Caenorhabditis elegans: one gene and its partner. The protein of the gene in region 1 purifies or fractionates together with the protein of each later gene. This does not show direct contact. Each region holds a gene or a part of one and is shown in the gene's direction. Other genes may lie near its edges.

Region 1 (17,430 bases):
GATTCATTTAAAATTGATGTGAAATTATAGAAAATCACTTGATTTATCTAAAACAAACATTTATTTCAGTCGAAACACTTGAGGAAGAGCTCAAAAATGGCCTGAAATTAGCAAATTCAGGCTATTTTTCAGCATTTTCTCGCATGTTTCAACTGAAATGGGTGTTATTTTCAGATAAATCGTCTGATTTCTATATTTTGGCGAGAAATCAAGCGAATTCACTGAATTCCGGCTGAGAATCTGCCGCGTTTTGAAAATTGATATTTCAACTCTTCGACGGCTGCAGCCACAAGAGTACGGAAAGATGAGAAAGCACATCTCGTACAGCTTTCGGATGATGATAGGCGTGTGTGTGGAACATTTTTCTGTTTTGAAAGAAGAAAATAGGTCGGCAGAAAAAGAGATAAGAAGTGGGGAAAGAGTATTCTTTTTTGCTGCTGTTGTGCCGAGTAAGAGTAACGAGAAGAATAAAGAGAGAAAAATGTGGAGAGCGTCGTCGACCGCACATAGTGGAAAGAGAAGAGGGATACACAAGTCTCTCCGTGTTTTTGTTACTCTGTTTCGTGCCTCTCTTCAAAATGAACACTATTTCGTTCAATTTGAGCCGTGGAAAAACAAAATGCTGAAAAAAAGCTTTACGATTGATTTTTTTTATGCCTGCAATAATAAAACATAACTTTTGGTACATTTGTTTGTGAATTGATTCTATTTGCGAAGTTCTTATCTATACGAAATTCACGTGAATCAGAGATGAGAAGTGGGTTTTGACCACGTAGTTATCAAAAATTATCAAAAAAAAGGTTCAAAAATTTAATATCAAAATTTGAAAATGAAAACATTGAGAAAGTGACAGGAAATTGTGGAGATCGAAAAATCTAGGAGATTCTCTCCTTGGGCTCCATGATGACGACGGAGTTTCCGCGAATGACAGTCATGCCGAGGTTGACGGATCCTCCGTCCTTTTGGTACTCGACAGCTTCCTGCAATATTAAATTTTAGAATAAATTAGACAAAAACGGAAAAAGAAACATACGTCGATGACCATGTTCATGAATGGATCGAAACCGCGGAGGATTCCAGAGACGCGACGGTTTCCGTTGAGCTTCAAGTCCATCTCCTTGTCCATGTACTTTTTGAGCTCTGGTGGATGTGTCTTACTCATTTTTCTGAAAAATTGAGAATTTGCAGGGGGAAATGAAAATGAAGAATGGAAAAATCATCAAAGAAACAGATTTTACTTAAAATAGAAAATAAAGCTCATTTTTCAACTTCCACCTATCGAAAATTCAGATAATACATTAATTATAACATTTTTTAACTAATTTTTCAAAGAATAAACATGATAATTATCAGGAAAATTGGATGAAAAAGGCTAAAATCGACGAAATTATTTTTCGAAATTCGAATAGTACGCAAACACCACGCTTGGTACACCATAAATGACGACAAGTTGCAGACGCTTGCACACCGTACTCACACAATTCTTATCGGATTTCCGAGCTTTTTCTTTTCGTTTTTCCAATTTTAGATGGTAAAAAAGAAGAGTAACTATCATATTCTCGTCGCACAAAATTTCTTATCAAATATCAGTGTTGATGGAAGCCACAATGACACAAATCTTCGAATTTTCCAAACAAAAGGCCTTCCGAAGGTGAGAATCTTGGTTTTTCAGCGATTTTCGTAACTAATTGATAATTTTTTCAGATATCTCCAACGGAAAAGAAGTTTTCAAACGGCGCAAGCTCCACAACCACCATCCGCAACAATGAATCAGTGATCTCACTCGGAACATCCGCTTCACTCGGAGAACGGCTAAGCTCGTCGAATTTGCCGCAGGAATACGCGGAGACACCACAGAAAAAGTGAAAATTAGTTGAAAATCAATATAATTAATTAATTTTCTCTATTTATAGAACTTCAATCTTCCGAAGAATCGCGAAAATCATGAGCTCCGACGACGTGATCTATTCAATGACCGCCACAAACAGTAGATCTCCGATTCTTGAAGAAGGCGTCGGGAGAGAAGATAGTGGGCTGATTGGTGAGCTGGCGAGCTTATAAAAGCTTACAAAACTTGAAATAAAATAAATTAATTCAAAATTTTCACAGAATTTCGCTCAGAATCACCATCTTGTTCTTCAAATCAGTTCAGTTTTCTGAGAAGGCTCAAAAGCACCATTACCCATGCAGATAGGTGAGTTCAACCATCATAAAATCCTCTAAAATCCCCCACACTAACCGTTCCGTGTTGCGAACTAACCCACATTTTCAGATTTTACATCTGCACCTCGACGAATGGCCAGCCTCTGGCAGTTTTCTCGTATATCTCGCCGAACAGCGACTACGTGGATCCGCTGGCGCCGATTTTCGCCAACACAACCGTCAATAAGAAGAAATTCCGATCGAAATCGATTTTTGGAAGGTTTAGAATTAACATCTCCTCTATAATTTATATCTTCTACCTAATTTTCCCCGAAAACTGGCAATTATCTAACAAAATTTCACAAAAAAAGCGCAGGAATTCAGAAATTTCGGCTATGCGATCTTAAAGGCACATGGGTTTATTCAGCTGTGCATCGACGCGAAAAGACAGCATGTGGTAGTTTTTTTTGTTAAATTTTTCAGTTTTCAGACCGAAAAAAAGGAAAACAACGCAAATTTTCAGCAGAAAGTAAGAAAAAACGCTGCAATTTGCTAAAAATCCGTGCGCCTTTAGGTCAAAATCTTGAAAAAATACGATAAATTCCCATAATTTCACCTTATAATCCAATTTTCCAGCTCGGATCGCATGCGGCATCAGGCTCACTTATCAACAGAAGAGCTGCGGCCATTTGTCTTCCGAGACGCTGAAGATCAAGTAATTCTGGGGCAGATTCGCCGAAAGCGGAATCCTTCGCCGTTTTTCACGCTGTTCGACAAGTCGCCCGCCTCGATTTCCAGGAAAGAGCGGAGGGTGAGGCTTTGAATTTTGAATTTTAAGATTCAAAATCCGCGGAAAAAAGGCGAATTTTAGCTAAAATCTTCAATTTTACCGAGTTTTTCGTGTCGTAGCAGGCGAAAATTCGTATTTTTGCAAATTTTGCTCGTTTATTTCACTTTATATCGTTGATTTTCGTACTGTTTAAAGATGGAGTAGCGCCAGTGAGGAAATTGCTTTAAAACATGCCTATGGGGCCACAATGGCCGAATATCATGATAAAAAATTTTTGAAAAATGTTCTAAATTTTACATGATTTTTTGAAAATTGAAAAAATCTCAGTTTTTGCCTAATTCCTATTCGAATTTCCGCCAATTGGATTTGTTCGATTGAGCGCGCTTGCACGTTTTTAAATTTATTTATTTTATTTTTTGTTATTTTCCACCGATTTTTAATGTTTTCGGTGTATTTTTGCTCGAATATTAGAGAAAAAGTCAAAATGATTGCAAATTTTCAATTAAAAAGCACTCTTACAGGCGTAAATCAGTGAAATCAATTAATTCAGGTTCGAAATCGTTTAAAAGCGTTACTTTTTGATTTTTACGCCTGTTTGCTTTTTAATCAAAAATTTGCATTTATTTTGACTTTTTCTCTAAAATTCCACCAAAAATACACCGAAAACATTAAAAATCGGTGGAAAATAACAAAAAATAAAATAAATTAATTTAAAAACGTGCAAGCGCGCTCCATCGAACAAATCCAAATGGCGGTAATTCAAATAGGAATTAGGGGAAAACTGAGATTTTTTCAATTTTCAAAAAATCATATAAAATTTAGAACATTTTTCTGAATTTTTTATCATGATATTCGGTCATTGTGGTACCATAGGCGTGTTTTAAAGCTATTTCCCCACTGGCGCTACTCCACCGTTAAGGTCTGTAATAATGGATTTATGAAACTTAAAAACTGGCAAAATTGAAGATTTTCACTAAAATAAACCTTTTTTTCGGAATTTTTCGTTCACTTGAGCAGATTTTGAGTCTTAAAATGTGAATTTTAGGTGAAAAGTTGATAAAAAATCGAAAATTTTTACAGGAAAGCTTCCGAAACGGCGAAACCTCGGAGGAAATGTTTGCGGAAACCATCGAAGTTCCACAAGCCGTAAATCGAGATTCAAGCTATGAACGTGGAACTTCAATCGATGAAAAATGCGATTTAGACGCCAGCCGATCAGATGAACCATCATCAGAAGTCATCGATGAGTACGATCCGATCGCATTTTCCGAGTTGGGAATCGGAAAACGGACTGTAATCCGTCACGAGTGTTGCGTGGCAAGCACACTTCATTGTGAATCGGCGGAGAGGGCGAAACAAGTGATAAATGAGGATTTCGAGGCGAAATACCCAATGATTCATCTGACATTGAGCAAAATGAAGAGTTTGAAGCGAGAAATGGCAGAACTTGGGGTCTCGAATGGAATTGATGTGTATACGGTGGCAACTGCTTATGTGTACTTTGAGAAAATTATTCTTAAGGTTAGAAAGAACGAAATTGCAACGATTAAGCTTAAAAAGTGATTAAAAAGCTCAAAAATTGCGAAAATCTGAAGAAAAAACCTGATAATGGTTAAAGGGAGGCCGCATTTGGAGGTGGATGGGTCTCGCCGCGAATCTCGTTTAGCAATTAAGCTATGCGCCTTTAAGGTTACTGTAGGCAATTTTCAAACTTTTTAAATGCATTTTCTAGTCGATTTGAATCGAAAATCTTTTTTTTCCATTGAAAATCTAAATTTTTAGAGCGACTTTTAGCCCAAAAAGCTTTAATCTTAGTTTATAATCGACATAATGCAACAAAAAATAGAAAATAGCATAAATTACGTCTAAAAAATGATTTAAAAGCTTAAACTTTGAGAAACTGTCGGAAAATTCAAGAAAAAATCTGAAAATGGTTAAAGGGAGGCCACATTTGGAGGAGGATGGGTCTCGCCGCGAATCTCGTTGAGCAATTAAGCTATGCGCCTTTAAGGTTACTGTAGACAATTTTAAGTTTTTAAAACAGTTTCTAATCGATTTAAATCGAAAATCTTTTTTTCCAGAGAAAATCTAAATTTTTAGAGCGAATTTTAGGCCAAAAAACTTTAATTTTAGTTTATTATCGACATAATGCAACGAAAAATAGAAAATAGCATAAATTACGTCTAAAAAATTATTTAAAAGCTTAAACTTTGAGAAACTGTCGGAAAATTCAAGAAAAAATCTGAAAATGGTTACAGGGAGGCCACATTTGGAGGAGGATGGGTCTCGCCGCGAAATTTGTAAAGCAATTAGGGTATGCGCCTTTAAGGTTACTGTAGGCAATTTTAAAAATTTTAAAATATTTTATAGTCGATTTTAAGCTAAAATCAGTTTATAATTATTATCAAAGCTGGTTTTTTTTTAAATTTCAATTTTTTTGAGATTTTCATATCTATTTAAATCTAAAATCAATTTTTTTCCAGGGTCTAATCTCAAAAGTCAATCGAAAATGTGTCGCCGGAGCCGCTCTCCTCGTCGCCCTTAAAATGAATGATTACAAGAAGTCTACGATCAAATCGTACATCGAACAGGCCGAAGATCAGCTCCGCGAGCCGAAATCCGATCTTTTGGCTTATGAGCTTCCAATTTGCTCGGTGCTCCAGTTCAGGCTTCAGCCAACAATTGATGAGATTCAACCACATGTAGATAGATTGCAATTTGAGATGTGAAATATTGTTATTATGTAAACGCAGAAAAATGTGCTTTTTTGAAATCGTGGTGCAAGCGCGCTCCACGGATAATAGTTGGGTCTCCTTAAAGGTGGACTACGCTCAGTGGAGAAATTGCTTTAAAACACGCCTATGGGGCCACAATGACCGAATATCATGATATAAAAATTCAAAAAAATTTTCTAGATTTTATATAATTTTTTGAAAATTGGAAAAATAACAGTTTTCACCTAATTATTTTTGAATTTCCACCAATCGGATTCGTTCGATTGAGCGCGCTTGCATTATTTTTATTAATTAATTTTATTTATTCTCGTTATTTGACTGATTTTCTTCATTTTCTATGTTTTTTCCTCGGAAAATGAAAGAAATAAAAAAGACAAACGCAAAATGTTTGTTAAAAAGTAATTGAAAATGAGTAAAACTGTGAATATACTAATTTCAGGCTTGTTGTCGTCGGAACTCAGAATATCAGAGTTTTAATCATTTTCAATTCAAAAATAATTGGTTGAAAACTGTGATTTTTTCAATTTTCAAAAAATCATAAAATCTAGAAAATTTTTTTGAATTTTTTTATCATGATATTCTGTCATTGTGGCCCCATGGGCATGTTTTAAAGCAATTTCCCCACTGAGCGTAGTCCACCTTTAAGTATTGGCGAGAAAACCGTAATTTCAAAAGTTTTCAATGATTTTTCGTTGGTTTCGAGGTGAAAATCATCGAAAATTGTTAAAAATATTTAGATTTGGCCGCCATTTCTAACGAGACCCAACTTTTAGCAGAGGAGCGCGTTTGCAACTTGGTTTTAAAATACGGATTTTTCCGCGTTTAAATAATATGCAATTAGTTTTTATGTACTCAATCCATGACCCTTTTGAGATTATTTCTAGTCGACATTTTTCAAATTTAATAAATTTGGTTTTTTTTCCCTTATTTTTTCTTCAGATTTTCGATTTTTTTGCGTTGAATGTCGCTATTGTCTATATATTTTTTTCCTTAATATTTTTCCTAAAATCTAATTTTAAAAAAAAAATTTTTTCCAGCAAAAAATGTCCCAGTTTGAGTCATTTTATCAGGATGTAAGTTTTTTTTTTCAAAAAATTTGAAAAAAGTGTACATTTCTTGGTTTTTCTGGAATGTTTCGAATTTTCAGACAGTTTTCCGCGAAAAAATATTAATTTTATGTGGAAATATCGATTTTAGGGCCAATTTTGAAGTTTTAGCGAGTTTTTTCAGCTGGCTATCAATTATAAAACTATAAAAAAAATAAAATTTCGCCAAAACTTTGAAATTGGCTTCAAAATCGCGAATTCCAAATAAAATTTTTATTTTTTAAAGAAAACTTGGCTGAAATTTTTAAAAATCCAAAGAAAAACCACAAAATATGGCCAGAAAATGCGCGGGAATTCAAAAATAATTCTCAAAAATTTTTAAATTCAAGAGAAAAATTTGAAAAAAAACCAATTTTTTTTTGAAAAAGTTGAAAAAAACCATTAAAAATTTTAAAAACATTTTTAAATTTTTCCAGCTAAAATCCACGGAGCAACAGGACGCGGCTCTTACTTCTGAGCAACAAATCGAGCGACTTTTGAAGCCCGGTTCCACATATTTGAACCTTAACCCATATGAAGTGCTCCAAATCGATTTGGACACGGATATCGAGGCGGCTAAGAAGAAATACAAGAAGCTCTCACTACTTGTGCATCCGGATAAAAATCCAGATGATCGAGAACGTGCTGACAAAGCTTTTGATATTGTGAAGAAGGCGATTAAGCAAATGGAGGATCCGATTGAGTTGAATCGATGCAAAGATTGTTATACGGAGGGAAAAGCTCGGCTTGCTATTGTGGTACGGAGCAACTATGAAGATTTGCATGGAAATTCTGAGAAAATTTTTTAAAAAATTGGATTTTTCTGGAAAAAAAAAATGCCGAAATTTGGATTTTTTTTTTCGATTTTTTAATCAAAAAAAACGAAAGAAAAATCACAAAAATTCATCCCATTTTTCTCATTATTTTGTAGTTTTTCACTGAAAATCGAAAAATCCAAAAAAATTTTTTTTTAGAAAATGAACAAAAAAAATTCTAATTTATGTTGATGTGAAAATAAAATAGAAAAAGCCAAAAATTTGCAATTTTCGCAAAATATTTTTTGAACAAATCTGAAGACAATTATTTTTTATATTTTTTTTCTTCAAAAAATGAGGAAAAAAAACTAGAAAAAAACAAAATTACTGATATAAACCAAAAGCGTATTATTTTAAAAATAATTTTCCAAAAAATTGAAAAAAAGTAAATTATCAAAAATTTACTTTTTTAACGTTTTTTTGGAAAAAAATCGTTTTTTTCTTGATTATTTTGTGAAGAAAACGTAGTTTCGCAAAAAATTTCATATAATTCGGAAATTTTTCGTTTTTTTGTAAAAATTGTTTTTTTAAAATTCACTCGAAAATCCAAGACCACGAAAAAAATTAGTTTGTATCCTAAAAATTAAAAAAAAAAATTTTTGAAGCAAATTTTAATCAAAAAATTATGTTTCTTCGAAGAAAAATTGTAATTTTATACAAAAATTATGAAAAGTGAACGAAATTCGAGGGAATATATATATATATATAAAATTTTAAAAAATACATTTTTCAATTTTTTTGTTGAAAAAAACCAAAAAAAAACCACAATCCACAGTCTCCTCGTCATCGAAAGCGCACAAAAAACTGCTTACTGGCGCGTTTCGCGTTTTTGCTAGCGCATTTTGTGGATTTTCCGAAATTCAGAAATTACGCGGAAAATAGGCTAGAATTCCAAAATTACAGCCCCGCCTCTTTTGATAATTATCTTCAGGATGAAGAAGATGATCGCGAAGGTGGGTGACTTGAAATATACAAGAAAAATATGATTTCTTTAGAGAAACACCATTTTTACCGTTGATTTTTTAATATCCCTACTCCTCCTTCAGTTTTTGACCAAATTTTCTCTTTTAATGGTCTTTCATTTCATTTTGTGCTAATAAACAAATTTTAAGTTCGAAATCTGCGAAAAAATTCGTTTCAACGCTAAAAAACGACGAAGTTTATTTTTCAACACTAAAAAGATTCACTCCCTCCCCCGGCTGCGCCAAGGTGTGAGCAAGTGCGCCCCAGCCCAATTCGACGCCGAGGAGACTGTGCAATCCTACCTCCAAGATCGTTAACAAAAATCAAAAATTGTATATTTTTTTTCTCAAAAATTCATTTAAAAAAACCGAATTTCTTCCAGATGTCGGAGAAAAAGCGAAAATTGCGAAAAGATGGAAAAGAAGATGTGATTGAAGAAGATGATCCAGCTGGATACAAGAAAGCTCTGTGGATTACTGTAACAAAAGTGTTTGCTGATCGAGAGAAGAAGAGAAAGATGCTTGAAGAGAGGGCGAATGAGGAAAAGTACGGGAAATTGATAGTAAATTGGAGAAAAACCGAATTAGGATCAATTTCTAATTAGAAATTGAAAAAAATTGAAAAAATTGAAAAAAAATGGAATAGAAAAATCGGAAATAACAAAGAAAAATTGAGATAAAATCACAAAAATCCGAGTTTTCAGAAGAAACAAAAGAAGAAAAATTCCAATTTAAAAAAATTAATTTTGTAATTTTTTTGGTTTTTTGCTTAAAATCAAGTAAAAAATGTAAAACAATTTTTTAAAAATTAAAAAAAAAGTAAATTTGGCAATTTTACTGTTTCTTTTTTAAGAAAACTTTTTTAATTTTAAGAAAAATAAAATACAATTGATTTTTCAGATATTTATTTCAAAAAACTGAATAATTTTTAATAAAAAATGCAAAAATTGAACAGATATTAAGAAAAAAATTATTTAAAAAAAATTGAATTTGCCAAAAATTTCTGAAAATTTTCAGGTTTATTTATATCAAAACCATATATTTTTTGAAGTTTTCCTGAAAATCCTTGAAGAAAATAAGATAAATTGATAAAAATCCGACTTTTTTAAAAGAAAAATACAATAATTGGTAATTCTCATTTTCCAAAGCGGAAAACCTCAAAATTTCGGGTTAAAATATCTAAAATCTAGAATTTCTTGGGAAGTTTCGAATTTTGCTCTAAAAAATGTTGTATTAAAAATTACATTTTTCTGAAAACTCATTTGAAAACAATTTTTTGCATTCAAAAATTGCCTTTAAGAAAATCACAAAAATTTTTCAGACGCCGCTCAACTGAAGCGTTAGTCCAAGCAGCAGAGAAGCGTAAACTGGCCGAAGAATTCGCGAAAAACTACGAAGAATCTCGTGACGAACGTTCCGGAAGCTGGAGAAATTTCCAGGCGAAAAAGGCGAAAAAAGAGGATAAGGGAAAGACGTTGAAGGGTGCAGCATTCAAACCTCCGAAAGTTAAACTTCAGAAATAATTATTGATCTCTTTGAATTTTTCTATTTATTCTCATTCATTATATTCCCATCATTATTGTGTAAAATCTCAACAAGTTTTTGTAAAAAATTATTTTATTCGAATTTTTTTTGTAAAAAAACCATTAAAAACCTCCAAAAAATTACGAAAACTGGAAATTTTGAAGTTTTAATTTTTGTTTAAATTTAATTTCCGGATATTTTCAATTTTTTCCAAATTTATTTGAAAATTCAAAAAAAAACGATAAACCAAATTTAAAAGTAAAAAGTAAAACGTATTCCCATCATTAATACAAGAGTGGAATTGCCGTTCGGCAAATTTTTATCGGGAAATTGCCAGTATGCCGATTTGCCGAAAACTTCAGTTCCGGCAATTGGCCGATTTGCGGGAAATATTCATTTTCGGCAATTTTTCGATTTGCCAAAAATTTAAATTCGTGCAATTTGCCGGTTTGCCGGAAATATCAATTCGGGCAAATTGCCAATTTGCCGGAAATTTTGAATTCCGGCAAATTGCCGATTTGCCGGAAAAAAATCGTTTGCCGCCCACCTCTGCATTATTGTGTAAAATCTCAACAAGTTTTTTGTGAAAAATTTTTTATTATAGTTTCCTTGAAGAAAAAAAATTTCGGAAAAAGTAGAAAAAACCCGTAAATCAAAAGTAAAGAGAGAAGAAATGATGGTTGAATGCATTAAAAACAAACAAAAAATAATATAAAGATCATCGGTTTTGTCATGGGAAATTGGGATGAAATGGGCGCGGAAAAATCTCGCTCAGACGACCTTACTGGGTCTCCATGAATTCTGAGGATTCGTCGCCATTTGCATGTATACCGGTGGTTGTGGTGGCGGAGCAGTTGGTGGCTCGAGCAATGGACGTGTTGATGGCTCGATTGGGTTCTGAAAAATTTGCGAAATTTTTAAGTGAAAATTTTGGATTTTGCGCGTCAAGTTTGGTTCATTACGGAAGCAAAAAAATTCTGAGAATGCGTATTGCACAACATATCTGACGCGCAAAATATCTCGAAGCGAAAACTACAGTAAATCTTTAAATGACAACTGTAGCGCTTAAATGGACACAAGGGCTACAGTAATCATTTAAAGAATTACTGTAGTTTTCGCTTCGAGATATTTTGCGCGTCAAATGTGTTGTGCAATACGCATTCTCAGAATTTTGTATTTCTGTAATAATTGCTGTGTTTTTTTGGTTGCTTTCAAAAAGAAAAGCTTTTTTAAAAGGAATTTCTCAATTTAAAATTTTCTTTTTTTTGCGAAAAATACTCACCTTAGATTGTTTTTTGGTACTTGTGAATTACATGCCCTCATTTTCAAATTAAATTAAATTGTCATTAATTTCTCCATATACATTTTTCATTTTTCCTCTTTAGTCTTAGAAAATGTTTTTTTTCCTAACAAGGGAACCCCGTACTTGATCCGTGGAAAGGACAAAGAAAAAGTATACCAATCGAAAGTTCATGTTACTGGCTACTCGAAAACAAAATAAAATTCTGCCAGTTTTGCCTATAAATCTGAAATTTTTGCGTCTGAAAATTGGTCTTTGCGCCTCATGATTTTCAATACTTTCTCATTGTCTTTCGTTGAGAACTATATTTTCACGTGTAAAAAAGGCTACACAAAAGTTTTACAACAGCGAACACCGATTGAATGGCCGAGTGGTTAATGCTATTTTTTATAAAACATCTTGTCTTTGAAGCTATGCAGCTCCGTTGAAAAAAATCTGACAAAAAAGTGATCAACTAAAAAGTTGTAGATTATAACTTCATCTAGAATTTTTTAGTGAAAAACTTTCACCAAAAAAATTTGGTTGTCGAGATATAGACGTTATACTTTCTAGAATATTCTAAAAAGTTGTAGCTCTTTTTCAAAAGTTTCCAGCTCGACAACCAATTTTTTTTGGTAAAAGTGTTCATCTGAAAAGTTTTAGATGAAGTCATAATCTACAACTTTTTAGTTGATCACTTTTTTGTGAGATTTTTTTCAACGGAGCTGCATAGCTTCAAAGACAAGATGTTTTATAAAAAATAGCATTAACCACTCGGCCATCCAATCGGTGTTCGCTGTTGTAAAACTTTTGTGTAGCCTTTTTTACACGTGAGAATATAGTTTTCAACGAAAGACAGTGAGAAAGTATTGAAAATCAAGAGGCGCAAAGACCAATTTTCAGACGCAAAAATTTCAGATTTATAGGCAAAACTGGCAGAATTTTATTTTGTTTTCGAGTAGCCAGTAACATGAACTTTCGATTGGTATACTTTTTCTTTGTCCTTTCCACGGATCAAGTGCGGGGTTCCCTTGTAAGCCTAGAAATACAAATTGTGGTTCACGTTTTTATTTTTCATGGCTTAAAAATTACCATTAAAATGAGGGCATGTAATACACAAGTACCGTTTTTTTTTTAAATTTTGTAAAACAATTTTAGCAATTCCTCCAAAAAAAAATGCATAAAAAACTATTTAAAAACGATTTTTTCGGGCTTAAATTCTCAATTTCAGAATTTTTTGTTGGTTTTGCGCGTCAAGTTGGTGTAATTGCGTCCGATGCGTTCTATTTTACGAGCAAAATTTAGAATTATCCGCTTTTTTTGCGAAAAATATTCAATTTATCCTGTATTCTCATTTTGTAGCAAAATAATACAAAATTCTGAGAATGTATATTACAACATATTTGACGCGCAAAATATGTCATAGCGAAAACTACAGTAATTCTTTAATTGACTACTGTAGCGCTTGTGTCGATTTACGGGATCTCAAATGAATTGTGACATTTTTTCGGTATTGTGTTTACTTTAAAAAAATTATCCATTAATAAATGATTTCCGTAAATCGACACAAGCACTACCGTAGTAAATTAAAGAATTACTGTAGTTTTCGCTTCGAGATATTTTGCGCGTCAAATGTGCTGTGCAATACGTATTCTCAGAATTTAATGTTACCGTAATAATCAGGAAATGTTTTTTTCAAACTGTATTGTAACTGTAACTGTACAAATTTTTGTTTCTCTTCCTAACAAAAAGTCAGTCAAGCAATTTTCAATAGAGCACATTTCCTTACTCACTTTAACCGGCGCCGACGAGCACATTCCACAGAAGATGAAGTTCTTCCAGGCGTGGACGGTCTTCGCCGACAACACCCACATCAGACACGAGAATCCTGTGGCGAGACTGGAAATTACGGCGGTCATGTAAATTTCAGCCTGCGGCGGTGTCGGCCGATGACATGCACCTGACTGTTGTTTACAGTCAATTGTCATTCGGGTCCATTGGGTGAGAATCATGAATTTATAGCATTGACAGACAAGTTCGATGACGTTGGGAAGGATGAATAAAGCACAGAAGAAGCCCATTTTCACCATTAGTTTCTCCAATTTCGATGTGTCTGTGCCCTGAAAATCGATAAATTTTATTGATTTTTTTACGGTGTGATCTACGAAAAATGCGGATTTTTTTTTCAGCGTTGATTTTTGAGCTCGTCTCGGATGAGTAAGTCTATTTTTGAAATTTTTTTTAATTTTTCAGATTTTTTCCAAGCTTTTTCAAGACTTTATAAAAATATTTTAGATTAGAAAAATTAGAAAAAATTACTGAAAATAGGTAATTTCTATATTTTCTAACATGGTGCATCGATGTTAGCGCACAAAAATCGTTCAAAAATGAGTGGCCTAGAAAAAGAGATAAAAAATTCGGCCATTTAATAAAACTCACCCTTGTTCTGAAACTAATTCTCTCTCTGCACATGCTCGCAAATCCTCCAACAATAAAACATGTTCCAATAACAATGCAAATAGTTCGGGGAACAATCACAAACCAGAGCAACGCAATCGAATTCAAATTCCCAACGGAGCAAAGAGCGGTGAGCTCACTCGCGTCGACTTTGTTGAAAATGAGCACAATAATCGTGGCCAGCGACGACAATCCCCAGGCAACAAAATGCACATAACTACTGCATGCTTCGATACCTTCTGGCACCCATTTCCTTCCACCGCTCAAATACCTACAATATTCCCATGGTGGGATTAACTGACATAATAAGTGGCTTACAGTGTAAATGAGAACATTAACCACCAAAGGGCAGCCGCTGTACTGAAGAAGTAGTTAAGAAGGAATGAGGCAAGACAATATGAATTGTCAAATGTTCCGATTGACAGGTATGACCGCCCGTTTCCAAGTGCGTGGCAGGATCGGATCGGAGCATCGATGAAGAGTGGCGTGAGGTATGGGAGGGAGGAGATGAAGATGCACAGGGATAGGTAGAAGACGCATCTGGAAATTTTTTGGAATTTTAGATTCTCCAGGATTTGCAGTATGCTCTAATTTGTTCAAAAAGTTAAAAGAAAAAGCTGATTAAAATTTGTTTTTTAAAATCATTTTGAGAATCAGGAGCTTCCAAGATATAAAAACAAAAAATACAGGTAATTGATTTTTCTACGTGGCCTAGAAAAAGCAAAAACTCGGCCAACGATTTTTGTCTGATTTTTCGCGTAATTTCTTTCTGAAACTTGCCTATAATGGTTTTGGAAGGAGTTTCTATCAGGAGTGGGCGGCAGTTGCCGTTCGGCAAAAAATTCTTTGCCGTTTTGCCGAATTGACGGAAATTTCCAATTCCGGCAAATTAGCCGAAAATTTCCAATTCCGGCAAATTAGCCGAAAATTTCCAATTCCGGCAAATTTGCCGGTTTGCCGATTCTCCAAAAATTTTCAACTCCGGCAATTTGCCAATTTTCCATTTGCCGGAAATTTTTAGATGGATTTTTTATAAAACCGAAATACTTAAAACTGTGCCGTTTTGAAAAAAATTTTCCCGTTTTCTATATTTTAGATATTTTCATAGAATTTGCTTACTTTTCAAAATAGATGTAGGAACATTGATAGGATGCCTTTTTTTTAAAAATTTTACCGATTAAAATTGAATTTAAAAGAAAAAAAATCTGAAACTTCAAAAAGTACAAAATCACAACTTGCCAAAAATTTTCAGCAGAACGGCAAAACTGAAATTTGCCTGTTTGCCGACTTACCGGAAATATAAATTCCGGCAATTTACCTTTTTGCTGAGGATTTGCTAGAGTCCAAATCTATTTGCTGGTGAAACATGGTGCATCGAGAGCTGTTTTTTTTTCAAAAATTCTGGTCTATATTTGACCGGCAAAGCAAAATTTTGTGAAACACCATTAGAGAATTAGTTCTGAGCCTTAAAAAATATGAAATTTTGATCTTAAAAATTGGATTTTCATTAAAATTTGTTCATTTTTCGTTAAATCTTCTAAAAGTGCATTTTCGTCAAAATGTCGCAATGCACCATGTTTAGTTTGCCAATTTTTGATTTTGTTTTTTTAAAATTACAATATATTTTACTGTAAAATAAAATATTTCGCGGTAAGACCCTATTTCCCATTTCCATTTTCAGGAAAAATATACGATTTTTGGTTCCCAATTGCAACCCTCTTTTCCCCAAGTGACTCATTTTCATCTCGTCGTCATTACCCACTTATTGGCTTCTTCTCTCATTGTATCTTTCTTTCATCTTTTTTCGTCCACCAGAGGACCCCCATTTTTATAATAACAAACCTCTCCGGGAAACGGAATCGCTTTCGGTCGATGGCGAACGTCAAGAAGGAGAAAAGAGCAACGCCGGCGTTTGCGGCGGCAAACCAAATTGACCATGAACGTACCATACGCTGTAATTAATAGTAATGATCGCTTCATATGAGGGGTGGAATTTGAATTTCCCACTATTTTTCAATTTGCTCGTCAAATCTGATGCATTAGGTCCGTATAATACACCTGAATTGACGCGCAAAAAAAGTTTCTAAATTTTTGCCGCATATTCAATAGGTCAAAAATGAGCTAAACAAATTAAAAATTTTTTTTCCGAAAATCAAAAATTTCTTCCTTCATAAAATATGTCTAATAGACCACGCCCCAAAAATGGGCGGGGCTTATTTTGCTAACTTTTTGGAAATCGATTTTTAAAACCAAATCTCGTGGTGTCAGAGAGTCCCATTTCGGCTTGATCTACGTTGATCTACAAGAAATGCGGGAAAAGAGACGCAGAGTTCTCAACTGATTTCGTATGGTTAATTACGTGTTGACGTCATATTTTTTTGGGCAAAAAATTCCCGCATTTTTTGTAGATCAAATAGTAATGGACAGCCTGACACCACGTGCCAAATGTCAAAAAACTTTTACAGACCACACCCCGAAAATGGGGGGCGGAGCTTATTTTTATCGATTTTTTTGGACACCGAACCTTAAAAACCTAATATTATTAATAATAGGAGTTTTATAGACCACGCCCCCAAAATGGGTGGCGCTTGTTTTCCCCCTCTTTCTGGAATTCAAGCTATTTTCAAAAACCGAATTCTGGAAGGAAAAAAAAAACCATGAAATGGGCGGAGCTTATTTTTCTGGATTTTTCCGGAAGCCGAATTTAAAATCTCATAAAAAGGCGGGGGTGTATAGAACACGCCCACAAAATGGTTTTTTTTCCTGAAATTTGAGCATATTTTAAAATTTTTATTCTGGAAAAAACCATGAAATGGGCGGGGCTTTTATTCTGCAAAATTGGAATGCAATGCAAACCCGCTCTATTGACAAAAATTGCCTCTTAATTCTAGCAAATTCGGTGAATGGTTCAATGCATCAAATTTGACGCGCAAGTTTGCTACAGTAGGCCTTGTAGGCAGGCAGGCACCAGGCATCCGAACTCACCTTATTATCCGTACTAAACATCACATTCGACTGGCACGCGAATGCACAATGCGACTTGGGATCGTGTGGATCCACATCGACAAGGTCACTGGGGCACCCGGTTGGCTTGGAGGATGATGAGCTCGAGCCTTTTGTAGGCAGCCGGGGAGCCGAAAATCCTCCAGTTATCTCGTCTTCCGTAGGCTTCATGCAAAGCTCCGGTGGATCTGGGAATTGTGCACAATTCAGCGGCTCCGGCCATCCAATCCCGAATTCTTCCAATATCGAGAAGCAATCCGCTTTCACCTGCAATAAAATTTTTTAGTGTGTTAATCTTAAGGGTAAACAATACCCGCCCTACAAGACCCCCCATCTGCCAGATGTTTACAATAAGACAGTCAACTTTTGCTGCTGCTGCTGCTCCTATTATGATTGATGTCCACCTGTCCAGGGGCACGTAATGAGCCGTGGAGCAGAGCACCTAATTGGGGGAAAAGCACACAGCTGCGAGTAACAGGTGTTGCTGCTTTGGAAATTCGAGAATAAGAAATTGCAAAAAAAGTGGAGTTAATTGGCTTGAAACATGGTGCATCGAGCGGTTTTTGCGAAAAAAAGGAAATTTTAAGACATTACGGTAACATTATGACAGGCTCTGGTTACAATCTGCTAAAAATGAC
Region 2 (15,871 bases), on another chromosome or scaffold:
CTATGGCAACTTTGGGAATTTTATGATGAAAAATAAAAAAAGAAAATAAAAAAATGAAAAGATTAAGAAAAAGAGCACATGAATCTTATAATGATTGGTTGTGCTCCCGGCTCCCCGGCCAAAAGGGGGAGGGGCGTGAGCAGGAAGTTTTCTAGGCGGAGAGCACAAAAAAGAGCACATTTTATTTGTTTGAAGTGTAGGCCAAGAGCCAGGAGCACCTAAACTTCAATTGAATTTGAACGGCCTTTAGATTGAACTTGGAAGAAATTGCGGGAAAATTGTAAAAAAATGTTGTTCGGGAAAATTGGGGTCCCGCCACGAAAAGTCAAAATGACAAGATATTTTTGCGTATTACAAAAAAAGAATCACCAAAAAATCTTCAAAACAAACAAAGTTACACAATTTTGAAGTTTTTGGAAAGAACTTTTTTTTTTTGGAAATTTGGAGTCCCGCTACGAAAAGTCCTGGGGTACTGTAGTTTTTGAATTTTCAGTTTTTATGTTTTTTAAATCAAGTTAACAGGATATTTTTGCATATTTCAAAAAAAAAATCACCAAAAAATCTTAAAAACCAACAAAGTTACAAAATTTTAAAGTTTTCAGATTTTTGGAAAAAGAATTTTTTTTTTTGAAATTTGGAGTCCCGCCAAGAAAAGTCCTGAGGTACTGTAATTGCAGGTTTTTTAGTTTTACTTACATTTTATCAAATTAACACGGTGTTTTTGCATATGTGAAGCAAAAAATCATCTGAAAATCTTAAAAACTAACAAAGTTACAAAATTTTGAAATTTTTAGGTTTTCGGAAAAAAATTATGAAAAAAAAATATTTTCAGAATTTTGATAGTTCAATTACTGAAAACTGATACTTTGTAAATTTTCAATTTATAAGTTTTTCAAAAAAAAATTATTTTATAGAAAAGTTCTGAATTAACTTTGTAATACGATACTAAACCAACAATAAAAAATTTTTTTGTTAAATGTTTTTTTCAAATTTTTTTAAATTTTAAAACTCTCAATAAGGCTTAAATTTTGAGCTTATGCTTGGCCTAAAATAATTTTTAAAAAACACAAAAATTGAAAACTACAGTACCCCAGGTTTTCGTGGCGGGACTCCAAACTTCAAAAAAAATTTTTTTTTCCAAATTTCAAAAAAAAAATTCAAATCTTTGTAACTTTCTTAGTTTTCAAGATTTTTAGGTGATTTTTTGCTTGAAATATGGAAAAATATTTTGTCAATTTATTGAAAAATTAAATACAAACTGAAAAAATCGGAACTGTAGTTCCCCAGGACTTTTCGTGGCGGGACTAAAATATCGCAAAAAATTTTTTTTTTCAAATGTTCAAAACCTCATAACTTGGCAAATTTTAAAGATTTTTAGCTAAATTTTAGCTTAAAATAAGCCTAAAATAATGAGCTAAAAATTAAAATTATCAAAAAGTTTTATTCGTTGAAAATCTACCAAAAAGTATAATTCTTCGTGGCAAGACCTAAAAAAAATTTTTTTTTCAAAAAATTCCAATTTTTCAGGAAGTCAAAAGATGCGTCTCAATGGGTATAAAAGGATTTGAAGTTGGTTCCCACGTGGCAGAAAAATCGTTGGATCATCGTGATTTTTGGCCGCTTTATAAGGTTAGTCGACAGCAAAAAAAAAGTACGAAAATCAAAAATTCTGCGTCGCCGCCTCCGGGAAAAATGCGCGGTTTGTAGGGCAAGAAGGGGCGGAGCCTATCATTTATTCATCGTTTGACGCACATTTTATATACCCGCCGCTGAGCTTTTTTACCCGGGGATATAGTTTGGAAAATTAGAAATTTAGAGGGGGAAAAATGGGAAATTGTGGAAATTGTTTTTCTCAATTTTGAGATTTTTGAATTTTAAATAAAAAAATTGAATTCAGCTCACCGAGAGCTTCAAATTAAGTACCATCATGCCTGGGTTCTGTGAATTTTTCGAAAATTGGGGTCTCACAACGAAAACTCCAGGGGTACTGTACCTACAATATAAAATTAAGTTTTCACATTTTTTATGATTTTTTATGATGCACTGAAATTTTTCTAAATTTTATGACTAAATTGAGATCCAAGCCGCTAAAACTGACAGAGTTATTGAATTTCGAAAAATTGCGAATAATTTTTTTTTCAAAACTACAGTATTTTTCTTTCTTTCTGTGCATATCGTGGCGAGACCCACAAATCTATCTTGTTTGAATTCAGCTCACCGAGAGCTTCAATTTGAGTACCATCATGCCTAGGTTCTATAGATTTTTGAAATTTTTGGGTCTCGCCACGAAATCAATCCGGTTACTGTACCTGCAGAAGCTGACCTAGATTTGACATTTTTACAGTGTTAAAACACAGATTCTGTATGACTTCCTACAAAATTTGTTTGGAAATCTCTAAAACTCACAAAGTTATCGATTTTCGAAAATTTTCGAATTATTTTTATCTCAAAAAATTTCAAAGCTACAGTAATTCTGTGAATTTTGTGGCGAAACCCACAAAACTATGTTTTCTGAATTCAGCTCGCCGAGTCAGCTCGCTAAGTACCATCATGCCTGGGTTCCGTGAATTTTTCGAAAATCGGGGTCTCACCACGAAAAACCCCGGGGTACTGTACCTACAGTAGCCAACTGGAGTATAACATTTTTAAGATACAGAAATATAATTTTCCTACATTGTAAAACAAAATTTGTTTGGAAATCTCTAAAATTGGCAAAGTTATCGATTTTCGAAAATTTTCGAATTAATTTTTTTTAAATTGAAACTACAGTGGCATAGCGAATTCCGTTGCGAGACCCACAAAAATATGTTGTATGAAATCAGCTCACTGAGAGCTTCAATTTAAGTACCATCATGCCTGGGTTCCGTGAATTTTTCGAAAATCGGGGTCTCGCCACGAAAAACCCCAGGAGTACTGTACCTACAGTAGCCAGCTGGAGCATAACATTTTTAAGATACAGAAATATAATTTTCCTACATTGTAAAACAAAATTCATTCAAAAATCTTAAAAACTGACGGAGTTATAGATTTTCGAAAATTTTCGAATTTCTCAAAAATTCAAAGCTACAGTAATTTTGTGAATTTCGTGGCGAGACCCTCAAAACTTAGATAAATGAATTCAGCTCATCGAGAGCTTTAATTTAAGTACCACCATGCCTAGGTTACGTCGAATTTTAATTTTCTGGGTCTCGCCACGCGGGGTACTGTAGCTCTAGTTTCAGCTGTGTCGAAGCTAGAAAATTCAAAATCGCCTGATTATAGTCATGATGGGTGTCATTTGAAAGCTCTCGGCGAGACGAATCCAGCTAAAATATTTTCAAATCAAAAAAAATCAAAAATCTAGTTTTCAGATTTGCGAGGAGCTCTCGGTGGTGCTCTTTGTGCATCCTTGGGATATGCACATGTGGGACGGGCGGCTGGACAAATACTGGATGCCATGGCTCGTCGGAATGCCATCTGAAACTGCTCAAGCCATTTGCTCAGTGCTCATGGGCAACATTTTGGTGCTCTTCCCCAAGTTGAAGCTCTGCTTTGCACATGGGGGCGGCGCCTACCCACAGATTCGTGGCCGAGTTTCTCACGGATGGAATGTTAGGCCAGACTTGTGTGCTGGAAAGTGTAAAGTTGCTCCGAATAAGCTCGATGGGCTACTGTGGACGGATAGCTTGGTTCATGACCCAAAAGCTCTCGAACTGCTGATAAATACCGTTGGAAAGGTGTGCAATTTTGATTTTAGAGAGTTCTAGATAGAAAATTCGAATTCCCCGCGTCGTCAGCTTTCAAATGACGCCCATCATGACTATGCTACGTTCATTTTGAATTTTCCTGTTTCGACACAGCTGAAACTGGTGCTACAGTACCCCGCGTGGCGACACCCAAAATTCACAAAATTTCGAAAACCTAGGCAAGATGGGTGTCAAATGAAAGGTGTTAATGTGCTGAATTCAAAAATTCAAATTTTTTGGGTCCTGCCACGAATTTGCAGAAGCTGAGGCAAGTTTTCGTGGCGAGACCCAAGAAATATTGCGAAATCTGTCAAACTTGACGAAAACTAGTTGATATGGGGCTTATTTTGAAGCTCTTGACTTGCTCAATTCAAATTTTAACTTGAAATCAAGAAATTTGTGGTCTCGAAGCGACAATTTTCGAAAAAAACTTGACATTCGCGAGAAATCCGTCAATTTTCATCATTTTTTCTCAATTTTTCAGGAGCATATAGTGCTTGGCACCGACTACCCATTTCCGCTTGGCGAGCTTGAAGTTGGAAGAGTTGTGGAAGAGTATAAGCCATTTTCTGCCAAGGACAGGGAGGATTTGCTGTGGAAAAACGCTGTAAAAATGCTGGATATCGATGAAAACTTGCTTTTTAATAAGGATTTTTGATCATTTTTTGGTTTTTATTGATTTTTATTGGGACATGTTGGGTTTTTATTGGTTTTTAATAAAGAATTTAGACTTTTTGTTCGAAAAACGATGTTTTCACATTCAAATACCCGCCGAAAACGAGAAATGCGCAAGAGTGGGGTTGCTGGCGCAATACTCGATTTTGCTGACGCGTTTCTCGTCTTTTTGAAAATACATTTTATTTCATCGATTTTCGCCGGATTTTCGCCGGTTTTTCTTGATTTTTCTTGATTTTTTGCCATTTTTCAGTCAAATTTCATCGTTTTTCTCGATTTTCTTGCCAATTTCCAGCATTTTCAGTGAAAAAATAGCGGAAAAATGGAGGAAGAGCTCGCCTCTTACAAACTTCAGCTCCAGCAGGTCGAGGCGGCTTTGCTCGGCGATCCGACGAATGTGGAGCTTCTCAAGTTGAAGGAAGACCTCGGGGAGATTATTTCGCTGCAGGTAGTGTGAAAAAAAGCGGAGAAAATGCAAAATTTTCGAAAAAAAATCAATAAAAACTGATTTTTTTCCAATTTTCAGGAAGATTTGGCGGAAACCGACAAGGCAGAATCATCAGAGAGGGCTGTGGTGGCTCCGCAAGTGATTCACAAGTGGACGGTACGGATTTTCAGCGAAAAAACCCCGATTTTCGCCAATTTTTCAGCTAAAAATCGATTTTTCAGGTCGGCGAACGAGTTATCGCCCCACATCCCGACGGAAAAAAGGTTTTCGCCAGAATCGACTCACTTACGCCCGCCGGAGTGGCTATTACCTTCACATGTAGGGGGATTTTATCGATTTTTAGCCCAAAAATCGTGAATTTTCACCAAAAATTCGTATTTTTTCAGCTACCGGCACGAAAACCATCGTAGATCCCGCTGATCTCCAACTCCCGCCCGAAAATCAGCGAAAAAATTATGCATTTGATAACACAAAGTCGGCGGCCGGACCATCGACTCAACACGGCAAAAAGGTTGGAAAAAATGGAAAAAATTCCTTGTTCTTCTGTAAAAAACCAGAAAAACCCCGTTTTTGCAATATTTTTGAGCTAAAAATCGCAAAAATCACCAAAAATTGACACTTTTTCAGCTTTTATCGACTATTTTCTGCAGGAATTTCTAGAAATTGACGTTTTTCCGGATAAAACGGCTTTTTTCGTGAAATTTTCATCGATTTTTTGGACTTTCCGGGGTACTGTAGCTCCAAAAGTACGCAAACACCACAAGTCTTACGGCAAAATGCAGAAATCTTGATTTTTCACATTTAAAGTGATTTTTCTCAAATTTTCAGTTGGAAATCGAGTTTCTCACTCATTTTTACCCCTGGAAATCGGTTTTTTGCACAAAATAGATTGGTGGCCTAACTTTTGGGATTTCTAGGCCACCAATCTGAAAATGATGGTTTTAAGCCATTTTCATCGATTTTTTTTGGATTTTTATGTCAAATATAGACGATAAAAACGATTTTAAACTGAAAATCGCAAAATTTCTAGTTTAAATCTCTAGAAAATCCCAAAAATCGATATTTCCGTGACTCATGTGCTTCTACTCGGATTGATGGCATAAAAACTGTTTTTATTTACATTTTCAGTCTTAAATTGGCTGAAAATGTAGGTAAATACCGTATTTCTGCCAACAATTTGACAATAAAGCACATTTGTCACTCGGAGATGCGGAAGCTATGCCCAAATTTTTAATTTTACCGAAAAACTCGTAATTTTCACAGATATTCAGCCCAAATATCGACTTTTCCATCACTTTTTACCCCCGTAGCCCGTTTTTCAGCCAATTTATGCAAATTTTCGTAAAATTCGGTGCCTAGGCGGTGTTTGCGTACTTTGGCGCTACCGTAACCCTCGAAATTCAAATTTTGAGCTATAGGCCCTGACAAAGGTCCATTTGGGGTAAAATTAAGCGGAGAATTTGAATTTTAGCATGAAAATTGCTGGAAATTGCTGAAAAATTCAAAAAAAAAATCAAATTTTTTCAAATTTCCAGGAATGGCAAGCAGAAAAGGAGCGCCGACGTCAAAAAGCGCTCAAAAAACAGCAAAAACAGAAGGAGCTCGACTCGATAAAGGATGGCGAGAAGAAAAGTTGGCAAAAATTCAACACAAAAGCCAACGCGAAAGGTCTGAAGGGCCTGAAGAAGGTTTCGGCGACAGGATCAAGCCAGGATGGCTCGGCGAGCAGCAGCGGCGGCGGCGGAGAGAAGCGAGGAACGATCGTCTCGTCGAGAAGCTCTCAGTTCATTTTTAAAGCCACCCGTGGAGCTATGGATTCACTTTTTTGAGCTCTCTTGTATATCCGATTTTACTGTACTTTTTTTGTGTTCTTGATATAATAAAAACTCGATTTTTTCCCGGAAATTGTGAAAAAATGCCAAAAAACACTTTTTTTCGGACATGGTGGATCGTTTCAGGTGTCGGGGGATATGGTCGGGTACTGTAGGAGTACGGTAGGATTACTGTAGTTTGGGAAAAGTTGGCTTTTTTGTCTTTTGAACGGACATTGGTTTAGGGTTAGTGGGGGGATATGGTCGGCGTACTGTAGGGGTACTGTAGTAGTACTGTAGGAGTACTGTAGGGGTACTGTAGTAGTGCTGTAGAGGTACTGTAGTAGTACTGTAGTTAGGGATAACTTGACTTTTTGTCATTTGAGGGGATATGGTCGGGGTACTGTAGGGGTACTGTAGGATTACTGTAGTTTGGGAAAATTGACTTTTCGTCTTTTGAAGGGATATTGGTTTGAGGTTAGTGGGGGGATATGGCCGGGGTACTGTAGGGGTACTGTAGGAATACTGTAGTTTTGGAAAAAAGTGTTTTCGTCTTTCGAGGGGATATGGTCGGGGTACTGTAGTAGTACTGTAGTGGTACTGTAGTTTGGGAAAAATTGACTTTTCAAGGGATATTGGTTTGGGGTTAGTGGGGGGATAAGGTCGGGGTAATGTAGGATTACTGTAGTTTTTGAAAAAACTGACTTTTTGTCATTTGAGGGATATTGGTTTGGGGTTAGTCGAGGGATATGGTCGGGGTACTGTAGTAGTACTGTAGGGGTACTGTAGGAGTACTGTAGGGGTACTGTAGTAGTGCTGTAGTAGTACTGTAGGGGTTCTGTAGGGGTACTGTAGTTTTGGAAAAGGTAGGATAACTGTGGTTTGAGAAAAATTGACTTTTTCGACTTTTGAACGGATATTGGTTCAGGGTTAGTGGGGGGGATATGGTCGGGGTGCTGTAGGAGTACTGTAGGATTACTGTAGTTTAGGTGCATTGAAGAAAGGTCTCGAAAGGTTTTTTTTTTCAAATTTCCGAAAATTTTGGAAAATTTTGAAAAAAAAAACATCAATGTTTAAGGAAAAATAATTTTTGAATTTTGAAAACTGTTAAAATTTGAGCGTAGGTGCAAATTTTGAGCTTCAATGCACCATGACCGCGCCAAAACCCGGCGGTGGCCTAGTTTTTGCAGTTCGGCCACCGCGGGGGTGGACCAAAGGAAAATTTTTTGCGAGTTAAAAATCAGAAAAAAAAATCAATAGTAGTACTGTAGGGGTACGCTAGGAGTACTGTAGGAATACGGTAAGATTACTTTAGTTTTGGAAAAATTGTCTTTTCGTCTTTTGAAGGGATATTGGTTTGGGGTTAGTGGAGGGATATGGTCGGGGTACTGTAGGGGTACGGTAGGATTACTGTAGTTTTGGAAAAATTGTCTTTTCGTCTTTTGAAGGGACATTGGTTTGGGGTTAGTGGAGGGATATGGTCGGGGTACTGTAGGGGTACGGTAGGATTACTGTAGTTTTGGAAAAATTAATCCTTGAATTTTAACACTTTTGAAAAAATTCCAAAAAATAAACATTTTAACGCGCTTTTTAGCCGTGAAATATTTAAATTCGCGCCAAAAATGCCTGTTGTGATTGACAATTTTCCAGTTTCTTTCCAGGAAAACTCGGCTTTCTGATCATGGTGCATCGATCAGACTGTCTCCAGCAGCGCCTGAAGAGGTGAAAACTAGCCGAAAAGTGAAGATGGGAGGCTAATTTCTAATCGGTGCGCGCCTTTTACTCGTGCGTTTTTCTTATTATTCTATTATTATTTCACTAGTTTTTCCATTCGCCCGCCGTGTGTACATATTAGCCGCCGCCGGCTAGCTAGCGGATACGTAATACCGTTCCACTTTTTTTCGTTTAAAATATAATATATTTGCCAAAGTTTGGAAAAGGTTTGAAAATTCGAATTTCGCGCCAAAAAAATGTATCTCAAAAATTTGAAGTTGCCGCCGAATTTGATAGATTTTTAGCTAAAAATGAAGTTTTCCGGCATATTTCCGTTCAAATTTTTCACTGGAAATTCAAATTTTGTAATAGCACATGTTTCACCATTTGTTGCACCGCCACGGTGGCCGAGCTGCAAAAACTAGGCCACCGCCGGGATTTGGCGCGGCCATGGTGCATCAAGGGTCAAAACTTGCACCTAATTTTTAATTTTAACGAAAACACAGAACCCCTACAGTACTACTACAGTACCCCGACCATATCCCCCAACTAACCCCAAACCAATATCCCTTCAAAAGTCAATTTTTCCAAAACTACAGTACTCCTACAGAACCCCTACAGTACTACTACAGCACTACTACAGTACCCCTACAGTACTCCTACAGTACCCCTACAGTACTACTACAGTACCCCGACCATATCCCCCGACTAACCCCAAACCAATATTCCTTCAAAAGTCAATTTTTCCCAAACTACAGCATTCCTACAGTACCCCTACAGTACCCCGGCCAAATCCCTCCACTAACCTCAAACCAATATCCCTTCAAAAGACGAAAAGGCAATTTTCCCAAACTATGCATCAAGATGCCACCATGTTCGCAAAACTGGCATTTTTTTTCACAAATTTGGTGTAATTTTCAGAAAATACCGAATTTTTTCTGTTGGAATTTTTTAAAAACTAATGTTTTTCGTCAAAAAAAGTGATATACCCCCTTTTTCCACAAACACAGCTTCACCCTCCCCACATCACATGAAAATTCCTCGAAAATTGGCGGGTCACAAATCCTTTCCCCCAATCATCAATTCGTGACTCGTTATGCAGTTTTTTACCCACCCGTCCCGGCGGCTACTGATCACATACACACTCACGGCGGATGAGAATTCCTTTATCAGTTCTCGATTCCCCCGATGCTTTTCACTTTTTTCCTCCTCGCCCAGGAGAAAACTGTACGGCGCCCCCGATTATCCCCGGCGCTGATAAGAAATTGAAAGTTTGAAGATTCAATCACTTGAGCGCCGGAGATTGTGTGGGAAAATGGGTAGATCAAAAAAAAAAGGTGGGGTGGGGCCTGTTCCAGTCCGGATTAGCTTATTTCCAAGCTTAGACATTTTCGTTTTCTTCGGTAGTAGTAGTTGTTTTTTCCGACTTTTTACACAATTAGCATCGGTAAAAAAAAATTGTCATTTTTTTTTCAACTCTTTCTCTTTTTCTCTCAATTTTTTTTTAGTATCAGAATAAAGTTATCAAAAAAAAATGTAAATCGGCAAATCGCCAAATTGCCGGAATTGAAAATTTCGGGCAAACTGGCAACTTGCCGGATTTTAAAATTTCCGGCAAATCGCCAAATTGCCGGAATTGAAAATTTCGGGCAAATTGGCAACTTGCCGGATTTTAAAATTTCCGGCAAATCGTAAAATTGCCGGAATTGAAAATTTCCGGCAAATCGGCAAATCGCCAAATTGCCGGAATTGAAAATTTCCGGCAAATTGGCAAATTGCCGGAATTAAAAATTTTGGGCAAATCGGAAAATTGCCGGGCTTGAAAATTACGGGCGAACCGCCAAATTGCTGGAATTGATAATTTCAGGCAAATAGGAAAATTGCTGGAATTGATAATTTCAGGCAAATAGGAAAATTGCTGGAATTGATAATTTCGGGCAAACTGGCAACTTGCCGGATTTTAAAATTTCCGGCAAATCGCCAAATTGCCGGAATTGAAAATTTCGGGCAAATTGGCAACTTGCCGGATTTTAAAATTTCCGGCAAATCGTAAAATTGCCGGAATTGAAAATTTCCGGCAAATCGGCAAATCGCCAAATTGCCGGAATTGAAAATTTCCGGCAAATTGGCAAATTGCCGGAATTAAAAATTTTGGGCAAATCGGAAAATTGCCGGGCTTGAAAATTACGGGCGAACCGCCAAATTGCTGGAATTGATAATTTCAGGCAAATAGGAAAATTGTCGGAATTGAAAATTACCGGCAAATCGGCAAATTGCCGGAATTGAAAATAACTAAAATTTCGGAAAATGGGCAAACTGGCAAATTGCCGGAATTTAAAATTTCCGCCAAATCGATAAACCGACGAACTGCCAGCGCGGAATTCAAATTTCAACACAAAAATGGTCAAAAATTCAAATTTCGCGCCAAAATCCGATCACAAAAAATTGCCAAAAAGTACCAAAACGTGCCAAAAAATTGCCAAAAAATTGCCAAAAAGTGCCAAAAAATTGCCAAAAAGCGCCAAAAAGTGCCAAATTTTTAGGCCGGTTTTTTTCGGAATTTTTTGAAATTAAAAAAAAAAGCTCAAATTCAACAACTTTTTTCTTTGAAAAATAGGTGTTTTTTAATTTAAAATTTTCCAAAATGACCGAAAAATTGTTGCAAAAATCGTTTCGAGACCTTTTTTCGATGCACCATGACCAAAAATCTTGTCCTTTCTTTTTTTGGTGTTGCGGTAAGGCGATAAGTATCGTTTCCCCCAAGCATCCATCACTGGATGGAAAGGAAAGATACCCGAAAGGGGGGAAGATGTCCTAAATTAGTAACACACATTGTTTTATGTAGGTCTCCCTCCTCCGTCTCATTTCTCTTTCCATGCCCGTTTTCGATTTTTGTCATTGGTTTTTTAGGATAAGGTATAGGTTTTTTGAACTGAAATAGTTTTTGAAAATTCAGAATTTTCATGTAATTTAGGTTTTTGAAGATACTGTAGGATTACTGTAGTTTTGGGAGAATTCAATTTTCGAGCTTTTAAAGATTTCCGAAACGTTTTAAAAATTGACTTTTCGTCTTTTGAAAGGATATTGGTTTGGGGTTAGTGGGGGATATGGTTGGGGTACTGTAGTAGTACTGTAGGGTTACTGTAGTTTCGGAAAAAAGTACTTTTCGTCTTTTGAAGGGATATTGGTTTGGGGTTAGTGGGGGGGATATGGTCGGGGTACTGTAGTGGTACTGTAGGGGTACTGTAGGGTTACTGTAGTTTCGGAAAAAAGTACTTTTCGTCTTTTGAAGAGATATTGGTTTGGGGTTAGTGGGAAGATATGGTCGGGGTACTGTTGTGGTACTGTAGGGGTACTGTAGGGTTACTGTAGTTTCGGAAAAAAGTACTTTTCGTCTTTTGAAGGGATATTGGTTTGGGGTTAGTGGGGGGATATGGTCGGGGTACTGTAGGGATACTGTAGGGTTACTGTAGTTTCGGAAAAAGTACTTTTCGTCTTTTGAAGGGATATTGGTTTGGGGTTAGTGGGGGGATATGGTCGGGGTACTGTAGTAGTACTGTAGGTGTACGGTAAGAGTACTGTTGGAGTTACTGTAGAATTACTGTAATTTTGGGAAAGTTTAATTTTTGAGCTTTTAAAGATTTCCGGAACGTTTTCTGAGTTTTCGAAAGTTTCAGAAATTTGGAACTATTTTAGAAAATATTTTAAATTCTTCCAGAAGATATCCAATGTTTCCAGACTTTTCCGAAAAAAAAAATTTGATTTTTTTTTAATTTCCAGAAATTTTCTAAAACTTCTCAGAGTTTTTTGAAAATTTTCTAGACCTTTCTCGAACTTTCTAAACTTTTCTAAATGTTCCTAGAATTTTCAAAAACGTTTTTCAGAAGTTTCTTCAGAGTCTTAAAAAAAGTTTCAGAAAGTTGACAGAAATTTCTAGAATTTTCTATAAATTTCCAGAAGTTTCTAGAATTTTCTATAAATTTCCAGAAGTTTCTAGAATTTCCAGATTTTTCCAGAAAATTCCAGAAGGTTCTAGCATTCCAGAAGTTTCTAGATTTTTCCAAAAATTTTATAAAACTTTCCACAATTTTCTAGAAATTTTCCAAACCTTTCTCGAACTTTCTAAACCTTTCTAAAATTTTCTAGAATTTTCAAAAACGTTTTTCAGAAGTTTCTAGAACATTTAGAATTAAAAAAAAAGTTTAAGAAAGTTATCAGAAGTTTCTAGAATTTTCCACAATTTTCTAGAAATTTTCCAAACCTTTCTCGAATTTTCTAAATTCTCCTAGAATTTTTTAAGAACGTTTTTGTAAAATTCTAGATTTTTCAGAATTTTTTAACTAGTTTCAGAAAATTGCCAGAACTTTCTAGAATTTGCAGAATTTTATAAAAACTTTCCAGTTGCACTAATATTTTCCAGAACTTTTTCGACACTTTCCAATGTTCCAAAATGATTCCAGAAACTTTTTATAAACTTCTAAAAGTTCCAGAAAATTTAGAAATTCCAGAACATTTTCCAGAATTTTCTAGCAATGTCCAAAAGTTTTTGGAATTTTCCAGAAATTTCTAAAATTTTCCAGTACTTTTCCCGTTTTTTCAATAATTTTAAAACATTTCCAAAACTTTCAGTAAAGTTTTAAAAATTGTCTTAAATTTTCAAAAAATTCCAGAATTTCAAAAAGCTCTTCAGAAGTTCCTAGAACGTTCTAGAAGTTTTCCAAATTTTTGAACATTTTCTAAAACTTTCCAAAAATTTGCAAAATGTTCCAAAACCTTTTCAAAACTTTTTCCAATTTTTCCAGAAGCTTCTCCAAAATTATAGTAACCTTCACAAACAAGTACAAACGAGAAGCCCAGCTAATTTTTTTTGGAATTTTTAGCACTAATATGTGTTTTTTGAGTTGAAAAACAAAACTAGTCACTTTCTATTAACCTTGTACATGTACATATACATGTCCACTACTACACTTTTACTTGTCTCCGCCATATCCATTTCTTCACTTTTACCGTCGTCACCACCCATTAGCCCCCCGTCTCCTTTTTCACTTTTCCGACATTTTCCGTAAACCAATTAACACTGTGTGCGGTGGCTTTAGCGCAGAGGGTAATATGTTCCGACAACGGTTTCGGCGTTGAATTCTTATTTTTTATTTTTGGAAAAATTTGAATTTTTCATATAATTTAACTTTAAATTTTGCAGAAAAATGGGTCATGTTGGCCTCTTCATACTATTATTCGCAGTTTTTGGCACTTTTATAGAAGCTGTTGGTGAGTTTTTTAGGTTTAAAAAATTTCAAAAATTTGGGTCTCGCCACGAAACCCAATTGGGTTACTGTACAGAGTTCTATTATTTTAGTTTTTCATAAAGTTTCAAAGTTTATACAAAAAATCTCAAAAATCTCAAATTTGACAATGTTACCAATTTTCAAAAAAAAAATTATTGGGTCCCGCCACGAAGAGATGTTGGGTTACTGTAGTTTACGCACTGTTGTATCAAAATTTTATTTTTTACCAAAATTTGAAGGCTTATGCAGATTTTGAGCTGAAAATAATTTTTAAAATTTCGAAAATTTGGGTCCCGCCACGAAAACCTCTTGGGTTACTGTAGCTTTTTCATGAATTTTAAAAGTTTCCAATTTTTCTTAAAGTTTGACGGTTTTTGCAGATTTTTGGCAGAATTTCATCAAAATATCTGAAAATTCGAAAAAAGTATCATTGGGTCCCACCACGAAAACTTCTTGGGTTACTGTAGTTTTTTCACAAGTTTTCGAATAATTTTTTTTTTGCAAAATTGGAAGGTTTATGTATATTCTAAGCCTCAAATAATCACAAAATCTGAAAAATCAATGAAGCTACGAATTTTAGAAAAAAAAATCCCAAAAAAAACATGGTTCTTCTCAAATTTTTCAAAACATTTCCAGAATCCACCGCAAAGCCGCAATGCAAATTCACAAGCACAAACGGGTACTATGCACATGTTCCATCAAACCTGCCGATTGGTGACGTCATTTTCCGGGGTACGGTATCTCCGCCCGACGCCGAAATGATGATCGCTAATGTTAGATCGGACGCGTTCAAGGAGGTGAGTATTATTGATTTTTTTTTATTTTTAAAACTTTTTAACTAAAAAAACTCAAAAACTAGCAAAACTATCAAAAAATTGCCAACTGTAAAATTGTAGAGCTAACAATTCTGCACATTTTGTTAGTTTATAACTTTTCGATAACACTAATCTCCGCAAAGTTATCAAGGTTTAAAGTTCGCGCGCCTCCCCGCACAGTGAAATAGTGTGCGGAGGGGGGAGACGCAGACGACGATAGTGTCTGCGTCTCCCCCCACCCTGTGCTCTCTCGGCGCTTTAACTTTAAACGTGTGTAACTTTGCAATGGTAAGTGCTATCAAAAAATTTTCAACTAACAAAATGTGCAGAATTTTAAGCTCTATAAATTCCTTGTTGGAAAATTTTTAATAACTCTGCTAGTTATGGAGATATTTTAGTTTTTTTTGTAAAAATACGCCGTTTTTTTCTGAATTTTTTGAATTTCCTGCAAATTAAATATAGAAAAAATAAAATTTCAGACCGACTGGTCTGATCACCTAGTAATCGATAGATCCGACCCGGGCTCCTCAGCCACTTGGCTCGTCCGACTGTCTGCGTCTCTCTCGCTACCAGTCTACCCGTCAACACTAAAAGAAGCGAACCTTTTTGTGACAGTAATATGTAATGGATACGCGTATCCGTTATTCACCCTCCATATTGATCCAACAAATCGATTTGCTCCACAGTTCTATCATGAGCCATATGTGGTGGCAGTTGAGCCAAATTTGCCGATTTGGAGCATTATTGAAACCCCTGTCGCTGCAATTGATTGGGATCCAGAAGAGAGTTATCGATTGATGTTTTGGTTGGAGGTGAGCTAGAAAGTTAAATTTCAAAAAATATTAAAAAAATTTTTTTTTTTGAAAAATTTGTTTTCTCACTTTTTTAAAAATTTTGTTATTTTTTTTTCAAAAAACGTCGTACAAAATTTTCAATCATTTTTCCGGAATCAGCTCAATGAGCCCTTTAAAATAAGTATAATCATGACTGGGTTTCGCCCACGCATAATAGTTTTAGCCATTTAGGCTCCGCCCCTTTCTTGGCAAAACTCAAAACCTGCAGTAATTTGTTGAAAAGCGATGCCGAAATTTTTTTTACTGTTTTTTGTGATCAGCTAGGCGAGAACTTTCAGAAAAAATAGTCATGTCTATGCTCCGCCCAATTTTTATTTTAGCTCCGCCCACTTTGCTCTAAATTTGAAACTGGCCGTTTGAGCTTTGTTTTTTCTGGCATTTATTGATTTTTGTTCATTCAGAGCTTTCACATAATTATAATCATGACTAGGTTACACCCACGCACAACTGTGCTTGGCGTTTAAGCCCCGCCCCTTTCTTGGCAAAAACGCCGCCCACTTTTTGGTAAAAATATTTTAGAATGTTATATAAACAGTATAAATTTA

The links.
Region 2: the proteins of dnj-30 (region 1) and smr-1 fractionate together in Caenorhabditis elegans (co-fractionation; one large-scale study listed by BioGRID). This does not show direct contact.

The regions. Positions count from the first base shown.
Region 1 is NC_003279.8:2,710,750-2,728,179, reverse strand, and holds dnj-30 (J domain-containing protein), read left to right. Parts: upstream 1-6,704; 5' UTR 6,705-6,710; coding exon 6,711-6,740; intron 6,741-7,189; coding exon 7,190-7,510; intron 7,511-8,912; coding exon 8,913-9,076; intron 9,077-9,850; coding exon 9,851-10,052; 3' UTR 10,053-10,153; downstream 10,154-17,430. Other genes in the region: snr-7 (putative small nuclear ribonucleoprotein G), read right to left, coding at 876-980, 1,034-1,162; Y71F9B.6 (Cyclin N-terminal domain-containing protein), read left to right, coding at 1,529-1,651, 1,705-1,862, 1,914-2,041, 2,110-2,194, 2,273-2,422, 2,779-2,953, 4,013-4,453, 5,416-5,661; lin-17 (Frizzled-4), read right to left, coding at 10,825-10,950, 13,126-13,452, 13,772-14,060, 14,108-14,329, 15,632-15,741, 16,775-17,059.
Region 2 is NC_003281.10:1,138,468-1,154,338, forward strand, and holds smr-1 (Tudor domain-containing protein), read left to right. Parts: upstream 1-4,704; 5' UTR 4,705-4,722; coding exon 4,723-4,848; intron 4,849-4,926; coding exon 4,927-5,004; intron 5,005-5,069; coding exon 5,070-5,166; intron 5,167-5,234; coding exon 5,235-5,359; intron 5,360-5,712; exon of another isoform or gene 5,713-5,801; intron 5,802-6,383; coding exon 6,384-6,677; 3' UTR 6,678-6,744; downstream 6,745-15,871. Other genes in the region: acsd-1 (2-amino-3-carboxymuconate-6-semialdehyde decarboxylase), read left to right, coding at 603-662, 1,528-1,629, 1,898-1,984, 3,351-3,716, 4,210-4,383; cdh-12 (Cadherin domain-containing protein), read left to right, coding at 13,577-13,640, 14,294-14,454, 14,952-15,284.